Nothobranchius furzeri: one gene and its partner. The protein of the gene in region 1 binds, or shares a complex with, the protein of each later gene. Links are inferred from orthologs where the notes say so. Each region holds a gene or a part of one and is shown in the gene's direction. Other genes may lie near its edges.

Region 1 (3,544 bases):
GAGAGTCAATCTGTGAGCAATAAATCTGTGTTTAGTGCATTCTTCACCAAGTATGTTTGACAATCATCAACTTAAATATGGTAGCCTATGCCATACCCCTCAAGAAGATAGATGGGGAACAGAAGGGGCCCCAGGACAGAACCCTGCGGCACCCAGTCAGCACACAAAATAACCAGTTTGCCAAATAAGAATGGAACCAACACAATGTAGGACCAGAAAGACCGACCCTGTATTTTAGACTATCTAATAGGATTTTGGGGTCAAATGTATCAAAAGCTGCTGAGAGATCTAATAGCAGCAGCAAAACATAGGGCCCTGAATCAGATGCAACCAAAATGTCATTCTGCACACCGATCAGAGTGGACTCGGTGCTGTTGTGTAGTCTGAACGTAGATTGAAACATATGGGTCTTAATCTGTGAATGATCAACTTGTTCCAGGACCTTAACAGGAATGGAACTTTCAAAAGTTCACAAGTTTTCAAAATCTGAACGATCCAAACCAGTAGAGATGCCTGAAAACACTTATTCATGTCCGAATCGCGATTCCTACTAATAAAGATGCACAATTTATTCATAAAACTCAAAAATCGATCCTGTTGGAAAGACTTTATGTAAGCTGCCATATTTCTGAGTATCCCTGAACACCTCTTTGCTGGAGCCAGTGCTAGCATTAGTTGCTTGCTCTGTGTGCTCCTGTGCATTTTTGTTGAAATACGATAGACTTACCTTTCTCATTATTCATTATAATTATTCATTATATGTAATATATTGAGTAAGTTTAATAATGTGTTAGTCTTGTGTAAAGTGATAAATGTTACTGGTTTATGCGAATACATACATGCTTCTGCGTGTTATAAAACTTGTTTATTAGTATACAGTGTTTCACATATAGTGTGTGTGTGTGTGTGTGTGTGTGTGTGTGTGTGTGTGTGTGTGTGTGTGTGTGTGTGTGTGTGTGTGTGTGTGTGTGTGAATTCAAATGTGTAAGGAGTATGTACAATACAAATAAACTAGAACTTCATATAAGAAGTAGTCACCTTAAAAAAATACATGAAATGGATTAAGGTGGGGAATATTAACCCAAGGGAAGCATTACCTTAAATTCCTCTGCACCTTTGTGAACTACAATGAACTTCACTGTCTTTTCATTGTTTTATTATTTTTGATTTACAAAATCAGATAAAGTACACCAAAGAAAATTCCACAAACCAAAAACTGAATTACACATTCTGCTATTAGTGTAAAATAATCTAGTTCAGCTCTGAAGAGCCTAGATTAACCTTGTAGTTTCTGGGCTGGACCAGTTCTAATGTGATGCAAATGCAGAAAATGTGCTGAAATAGGCCTTAATTGGGCTTTCACAAATCTGATGAAGGTCTTCTAAATCGCACACTGGTTTTTAGGATACTGCTATCTATGTAGAATATTTGACTCCAGGTTTTAGTTGTTTTGAAATGAGAGTGAATTAAAAAGGGTTGGGGGTAAAAAAATTTGTTGAAATTCCCTTCATCAATTTTTCCACCTCAGTAGATAAAAGTTGAACTACAGTGGTTGTAAACTCATATTACTACTTAAATAGGGTTCATTTAATAATGTTAGGACACCCTTGTGTTGAAAAACAATGTGGAATAGAAGTAAAATCAATAAATTACGAAAGTTTAGTTGTAATTGTATTGTGTTTCGTGGCCGTTATAAATCTAATTTAAATAGAAATCAAAAACATGGTTGGAAGCTGGAAATAGCGCCCTCTTCAGTTCTGGAAAGAAATTGCACCATTTCCATATATGATATAGTTTGGCCATATCCCATGCCCTGCCCCGTGCTAGAAGTTGCAGCCAAGTGTACTTGAATTTATGAGCCATTCATATGGACGTGTACTAAATCCTGTCCATCATCCCTCAAGTCGACCCTGATGTCTTTTGATGGTTTTGACCTACCCAGGTTTTATTGAAGGTCACTAAGCTCAGAATGTTAATCAAAAAGTGATCTTGAGATGGATTATTGCAACTCATTGTTCTCTCCTAACCTAAAGTACTGTTGATCCAGAACCCAGGAACCAACCGATCCAGCTCCCCTCCTCTGCTTTCATGTTCCTGTTACCTCAAGATACTTTGAATTAACTTTGTTTACCCATATTTCAGTGTGTAAAGCATGAGGACTTGTTTCAGATTGTGGGTGATGACTGTAAACGCCCTCCAACCATCAGCCACTCTGCAGCAACAGCAGACCTGCACCCAGAACGACCTGATGATTGATCCTCTGATTGTGCTGCGCTGTGACCAGAGGGTGTACAGGTAACCAGACTGGCTACAAGCTCAAACAAAGCTAAATACACATATCAGGAAATATGGTCATATCTTATATCATACATTACCAGATGGCTTCATCAGAATGTGATTTCCAGGTTTTACTCGAGCGGTTTGTAGCAGAGTTTGAAGCAGCTGGGATGAGAGTCAGCTCCTCTAAATCTGAGACCATGGTCTTGAGTCGGAAAAGGGTAGAATGCCTTCTCCGTGTCAGGGATGAGGTCCTGCCCCAAGTGGAGGAGTTTAAGTATCTCAAGGTCTTGTTCACGAGTGAGGGAAAGATGGACTGCAAGATCCACAGGCATATTGGCGCTGCGTCTTCAGTAATGCAGACATTGTACTGATCTGTCGTGGTGGAGAGAGCGGAGCCAGAAGGCAAAGCTCTCAATTTACCGTTCGATCTACGTTCCTGCCCTCACCTCTGGTCAAGAGCTTTGGGTAGTGACCGAAAGAATGAGATACAAGCGGCCGAAATTATTTATTTTCCGCATGTTGGCTGGCCTCTCCCTTAGAGATAGGGTGAGAAGCTCGGTTGAGCCTGTACAATTGTTCCACTGAAAAATCTGGTTTGATTCCCCATAGGATGGTAATTTAGCATGAGCTGTGAGCTTTGGACGAAGCTCTGGCGGAACTGGCTAAAACAGGAAGTGAGTTCACTTTTAATGAAATGGTTGTTTGTAAACTTTGACCAACCTGATCTGAGAAGTGTGTATAGGCGTTTACCAAGACACTCAGGCACTGCCCTTTCTGTGATGCTTAGAAAGCTCATTTCATTTAGTATATGGAGCAAATCTGTTACACATTCATTTATTAATACACTGATATCATTATGTGAATGCAACTGATAATTAAATGATCATCAAGACTCATTTAGTGTATTTAAGATCTGAAATAAATCAGGAACCCCAGAGGAAGAAGCAGGAATAATTCAGAACATACCAGGGTATTTTTGTATTGTTTTAAGTTTATGATGTATAAAAATAAAATAATATAGAGCATGAAGGGATAAACAAAATGACTTGCTATTTAGATGACTAAATAAGAACAAATAAACTCATCTTGTTCTTAGGTGTCCTCCCCTGATGGACATCGTCCTTCACATGCTTAATGGGTACCTGCTGGCCTCCAAAGCCTATCTGCAGAGTCACCTGAAGGAGACGGCCGACTTTGAGCGACAGAGCCAGACTGTCTCTAGTGTGACGGGATCGGGTCAGCTGGACACACCTGAGGTCACCAG
Region 2 (4,299 bases), on another chromosome or scaffold:
CCTTTGAGGGGACACAAAGCCTCTGAACTGCAATAACTGAGAGGTTCGCCTTTAGTTTTTAACTCAATAAGATGCTATTAATGCAATTTTACATTATGATGTAAAAATTGCACCTCCACGTCAGAAATAGACCAATATATTTGTTGGCCGACATATTTTTATAAATCAGCATCAGCTGATACACCCGTTTAGAGGGGCCGATTTAAAAACTGAAACAGCCACAGGCAGTCCAGTGCTGCTGCAGGATTTTATTTAAATGTGCGTGTGTGTTCCTGATCTACTTAATAAATGTTTAAAAACATTCTTCTTAACTGAAGTATTTTTTGTTTACCCGTTTTTATTTAAGACTTGGTCAGTTTATGATTTGTTCGATTACCTTTGGCTAAATGTTTGATTTTAATACGAGCGGTGCAAAAAAAATTAAGATACAAGAGTTGTTTAAATTCAGAGTTCAACAACGGATCCATGTTCAGAAACGTTGTGCATCATGTTTTTGTCAGTGACATCTAAGCATGCAAATAAGGTGGAAAATGTCGAGTTATCGGCCGCGAACATCGGTAGCAAATATCGGCCATCAGCTGACCATGACCCCCATATATCAGCATCAGTATCAGCATCTGAAAACCCCATATCAGTGGATCTCTACACCTGATTTCCCCAGACACCCAAAAGCTGACGCTTGTCTCCCACTGACCTCCGCACAGGCCTTCAAGCAGGTTTTTTTGAAACCCAGCAGCTCCAGAACATCCTTCCTGGAAGGGTCTTCCTCAGTGGTTTTGATGATAATGTGCCTGAGCACCACGGCTAGTCCTGCCCTGCACAGGCGCCCGCTCTCATCCACCGCTGCCGGGAGACGGCAGCTCCTCACCAGCTGGGGCAGATCCTCCAGCTGGACCCAGCTGACACCAACAGGCACTGGGAGCTGGCTCCTGAAAGCGTCCGAGCAGCTACTGGTGTAAACCATGAACACTTTGAAGGACTTGCACTCGCAGTATGATAGGAGAAACATAACTATGGACGTGTGCAGGGGGAGACGCAGCTCCTCGTTCTGGGAACAAACCTCTAAGAAGAGGGAGAGATGTTGCTCTTTTTTCTCGTTGTGCTTCATTGTAAATAAACTAGAAGGACAGTAAAACAATCAGTTAGTTTTATCATTGTTTTAGTGTTCTCTGTTGGTACTTTTACGTCTAGATTACTTAAATTCAACATATGACCCAAGAAAAATGACTTACCTGAAACAGGCGGACCGGTGTGTTTTGGTGATTCTTCTTCTGCTGTTTTTTCACTAGCATAGCTCCACAGCGCCGCCAGCGGTCTTCTCAAACGTTTCAAAACTCTCTTCATGAAAGAGTAACACCTATGTACAAAATATGTACCGCAAAGGAAAACATACGTGGGATGAATACTTATTTTATTATAACCAAAATAGTATAATAACCACGCGAACGCGAATACAAATTTCGCAAAACGTTCCGCCCTTGCAGACTCCGGACATATTTGTCGGTTACTCAAATGTGAAGACGAAACGCCGACGGAAGTGTTGCTCAGTTTTCCGTTGTTCAATAGAAAGAAAATATTCCGGTAAAACAGAAAATACACCCAGTCTCGGGTAAGCCTGTGTTTATGATAATTATGAGCTTCAATTTTAGAATTATAAAGCGACCTCGGTAACTACCGCGGTGCTTCTGTGGTTGTAGTCCGTCTTCCTGTTTTTACTCAGAAACCAAATATTTGCCAATGTTTAAAGTCATTCACAGCAGTTGGATCGGTGGGACTCGGCTTATAGGCGCCGGCAGTTCTTTTTACTTTGATGAAATGATACTAATTCACAGCATTACGTGAATTGTTATTGTTTGATTTCTAGTGGAAGCGATGGCTGGACCTGTCAGTTTGGAGCTGGATCCCATCTTCCTAAAAGGACTGAGTTATCTACATTCCAAGAGCAAAGATTCAGCTGAGAAGCTCAAAGCTCTACTTGATGAGTCCCTTGCTAGAGGCAGCGATTCCTCTTATCGCTCTTCACAAAAAGTAAGATAATTCATTCTCATATACACTCACCTAAAGGATTATTAGGAACACCTGTTCAACTTCTCCTTAATGCAATTATCTAATCAATCAATCACATGGCGGTTGCTTCAGTGCATTTTGGGGTGTGGTCCTGGTCAAGGCAATCTCCTGAACCCCAAATGCCACGGGCTACCTGAGCATTGTTTCTGACCATGTCCATCCCTTCATGACCACCTTGTACCCATCCTCTGGTGGCTAATTCCAGCAGGATAATGCACCGTGTCATAAAGCTCCAGTCATTTCAAACTGGTTTCTTGAACATGACAATGAGTTCACTGTACTACAACGGCCCCCACAGTCACCAGATCTCAACCCGATAGAGCATCTGTGGAACGGGAGCTCCGTGCCCTGGATGTGCATCCCACAAATCTTCCATCAACTGCAAGATGCTATCCTACCAATATGGGCCAAGATTTCTAAAGAATGCTTTCAGCACCTTGTTGAATCAATGCCACGTACAATTAAGACAGTTCTGAAGGCGAAAGGGGGTCAAACACCGTATTAGTGTGGTGTTCTTAATAATCCTTTAGGTGAGTGTAGAGAAATCCCCTTAAAGAGCAAGTCACCCCCTACCAGAGTCTTACTCCACTCCCACTTCCTGTTTGAAAAATGCAACAAATGCTGTTACCTGGCAGACCGAGGGGGTGGAGCCACTAACAAATACACACACAGGCTCACAATGACTTTGTGACATCATAATGTACTTCTTAGACAATAGCAATGGCAGAGTTTTTACCTGAAGACGACGTAACACTGACAGTTTTAGGCAGATTATTTAAATTTATCTAAGATGCACCAAAGTGCCAAGTTATTGACTACAAGTGTCTACAGCATGATTAGACACTCATTTATATAGTTTATCAGCAAGAAAGAAATTTGGGGGGGGGGGGGGGGGGGGGGGGGCTGACTTGCTCTTTAATGTCATTCGTATGACATTGTTTTAAAACCAAGTGCTTGTGCCTTCTGTGTGATTGTTTTGTCCTCAGGAGGTGGAAGTGTCAAAGGCATCCGTGTCAAAGCTGAGTTTAAGTAAAGAGCCCAAGTCTTCAAGTTCTTCTTCTGGCAGCAGCGGTGGAAGTAGTAAATCCAGCTCAGAGAAAGGCAAGAAAGAAGGCGAGAAGAGGTCATCAGAGAAGGTGTGGAAGACATTTTTCCAATTTTTACTAATGATCCCAGTAATCTGTGTCGTGTTGCTGTTCAATTGGGAAGTAAAAGTGCACAAATGAATGAAAAGTGCATATTATATAACTCTAAAGCTTTAAAGCAGAATCCGATTTAAATATGTGATCAGGTGTTTTTTGTTTGTGTGATTTAGTCAAACTTCCTTTTGTATTTTGCTGAAAAACAGGCCAGGGTTGACGTGAGCGAAGTGGACCCCCCCAAAAAGCCTCGTTTAGAGAAACAAGAGAACCGCTCCTCTCCAATCACATTTCAGACGAGCAAAGACCTCCTACCAAACATAAACGACTACGACGAGACAAACGCTGACGACTTTGCCATGGAAATGGGTCTGGCCTGCGTGGTTTGCAGGTACGAGTAGCCAATCGTGTAGATTTGTCAGCATGTTATTCCCTCAAATTAATCAGATCACCATTTTAAGCAGAAATTCAGTCTTTTTTTTTTAAATAATTAATTCTCTCAGACAAATGACGGTGACCATGGGAAACCAGTTGGTGGAGTGCCAAGAGTGTCATAATCTCTACCACCAGGACTGCCACAAACCTCAAGTGACTGATAAGGAAGTGAATGACCCACGGCTTGTGTGGTATTGTGCCCGTTGCACCAGGCAAATGAAACGGATGGTGAGGAAAATCAAGTCACGATCCTGCATCACCTTTTTAATGATGAACTAACTTGTTTGTTTGTTTGTTTGTTGACCAGGCTCAGAAGCCTCCTCAGAAACCATCCCCTGCATCTGCATCTTCAGCACCGGTTGTTAAAGACCCGCTGGTGAAAAAGACAGAGCTGAAGGCTAAAACCGATACAACCAGCACCTTCCAGGCCTTCAAGAGGACAGAGGTGAAGGTGTGTGTGAGTATTTTAATTAAAAATGACATCCTCAGTCTTGTTTCTACTAACCAGTAAGGGGTTTAGAGGTAAGAAAAGCAACAGGAACAGTTCCTTTTCTTTCCTTAATTGTTTAGAAGATTTGTTTCTGCGTTTGGATTCAGACAATATGGCAGTTTTAGTGTCAAATATATTCAATCTTATTAGTTTAAGACCTTTTAGGGA

Evidence for each region. The genes of interacting proteins can lie anywhere in the genome.
Region 2: ints2 (region 1) and ints12 share a complex: the UniProt entries of both Homo sapiens proteins name them as parts of the integrator complex. The link is inferred for Nothobranchius furzeri from reciprocal best matches to the Homo sapiens genes INTS2 and INTS12.

What each region holds. Positions count from the first base shown.
Region 1 is NC_091750.1:42,350,876-42,354,419, reverse strand, and holds part of ints2 (integrator complex subunit 2), read left to right. Parts: intron 1-2,169; coding exon 2,170-2,295; intron 2,296-3,376; coding exon 3,377-3,544. UniProt on the Homo sapiens protein: Component of the integrator complex, a multiprotein complex that terminates RNA polymerase II (Pol II) transcription in the promoter-proximal region of genes.
Region 2 is NC_091746.1:80,674,743-80,679,041, forward strand, and holds the start of ints12 (integrator complex subunit 12), read left to right. Parts: upstream 1-1,482; 5' UTR 1,483-1,609; intron 1,610-1,864; 5' UTR 1,865-1,872; coding exon 1,873-2,028; intron 2,029-3,053; coding exon 3,054-3,203; intron 3,204-3,415; coding exon 3,416-3,597; intron 3,598-3,709; coding exon 3,710-3,869; intron 3,870-3,948; coding exon 3,949-4,098; intron 4,099-4,299. Other genes in the region: gstcd (glutathione S-transferase C-terminal domain-containing protein), read right to left, coding at 695-1,108. UniProt on the Homo sapiens protein: Component of the integrator complex, a multiprotein complex that terminates RNA polymerase II (Pol II) transcription in the promoter-proximal region of genes.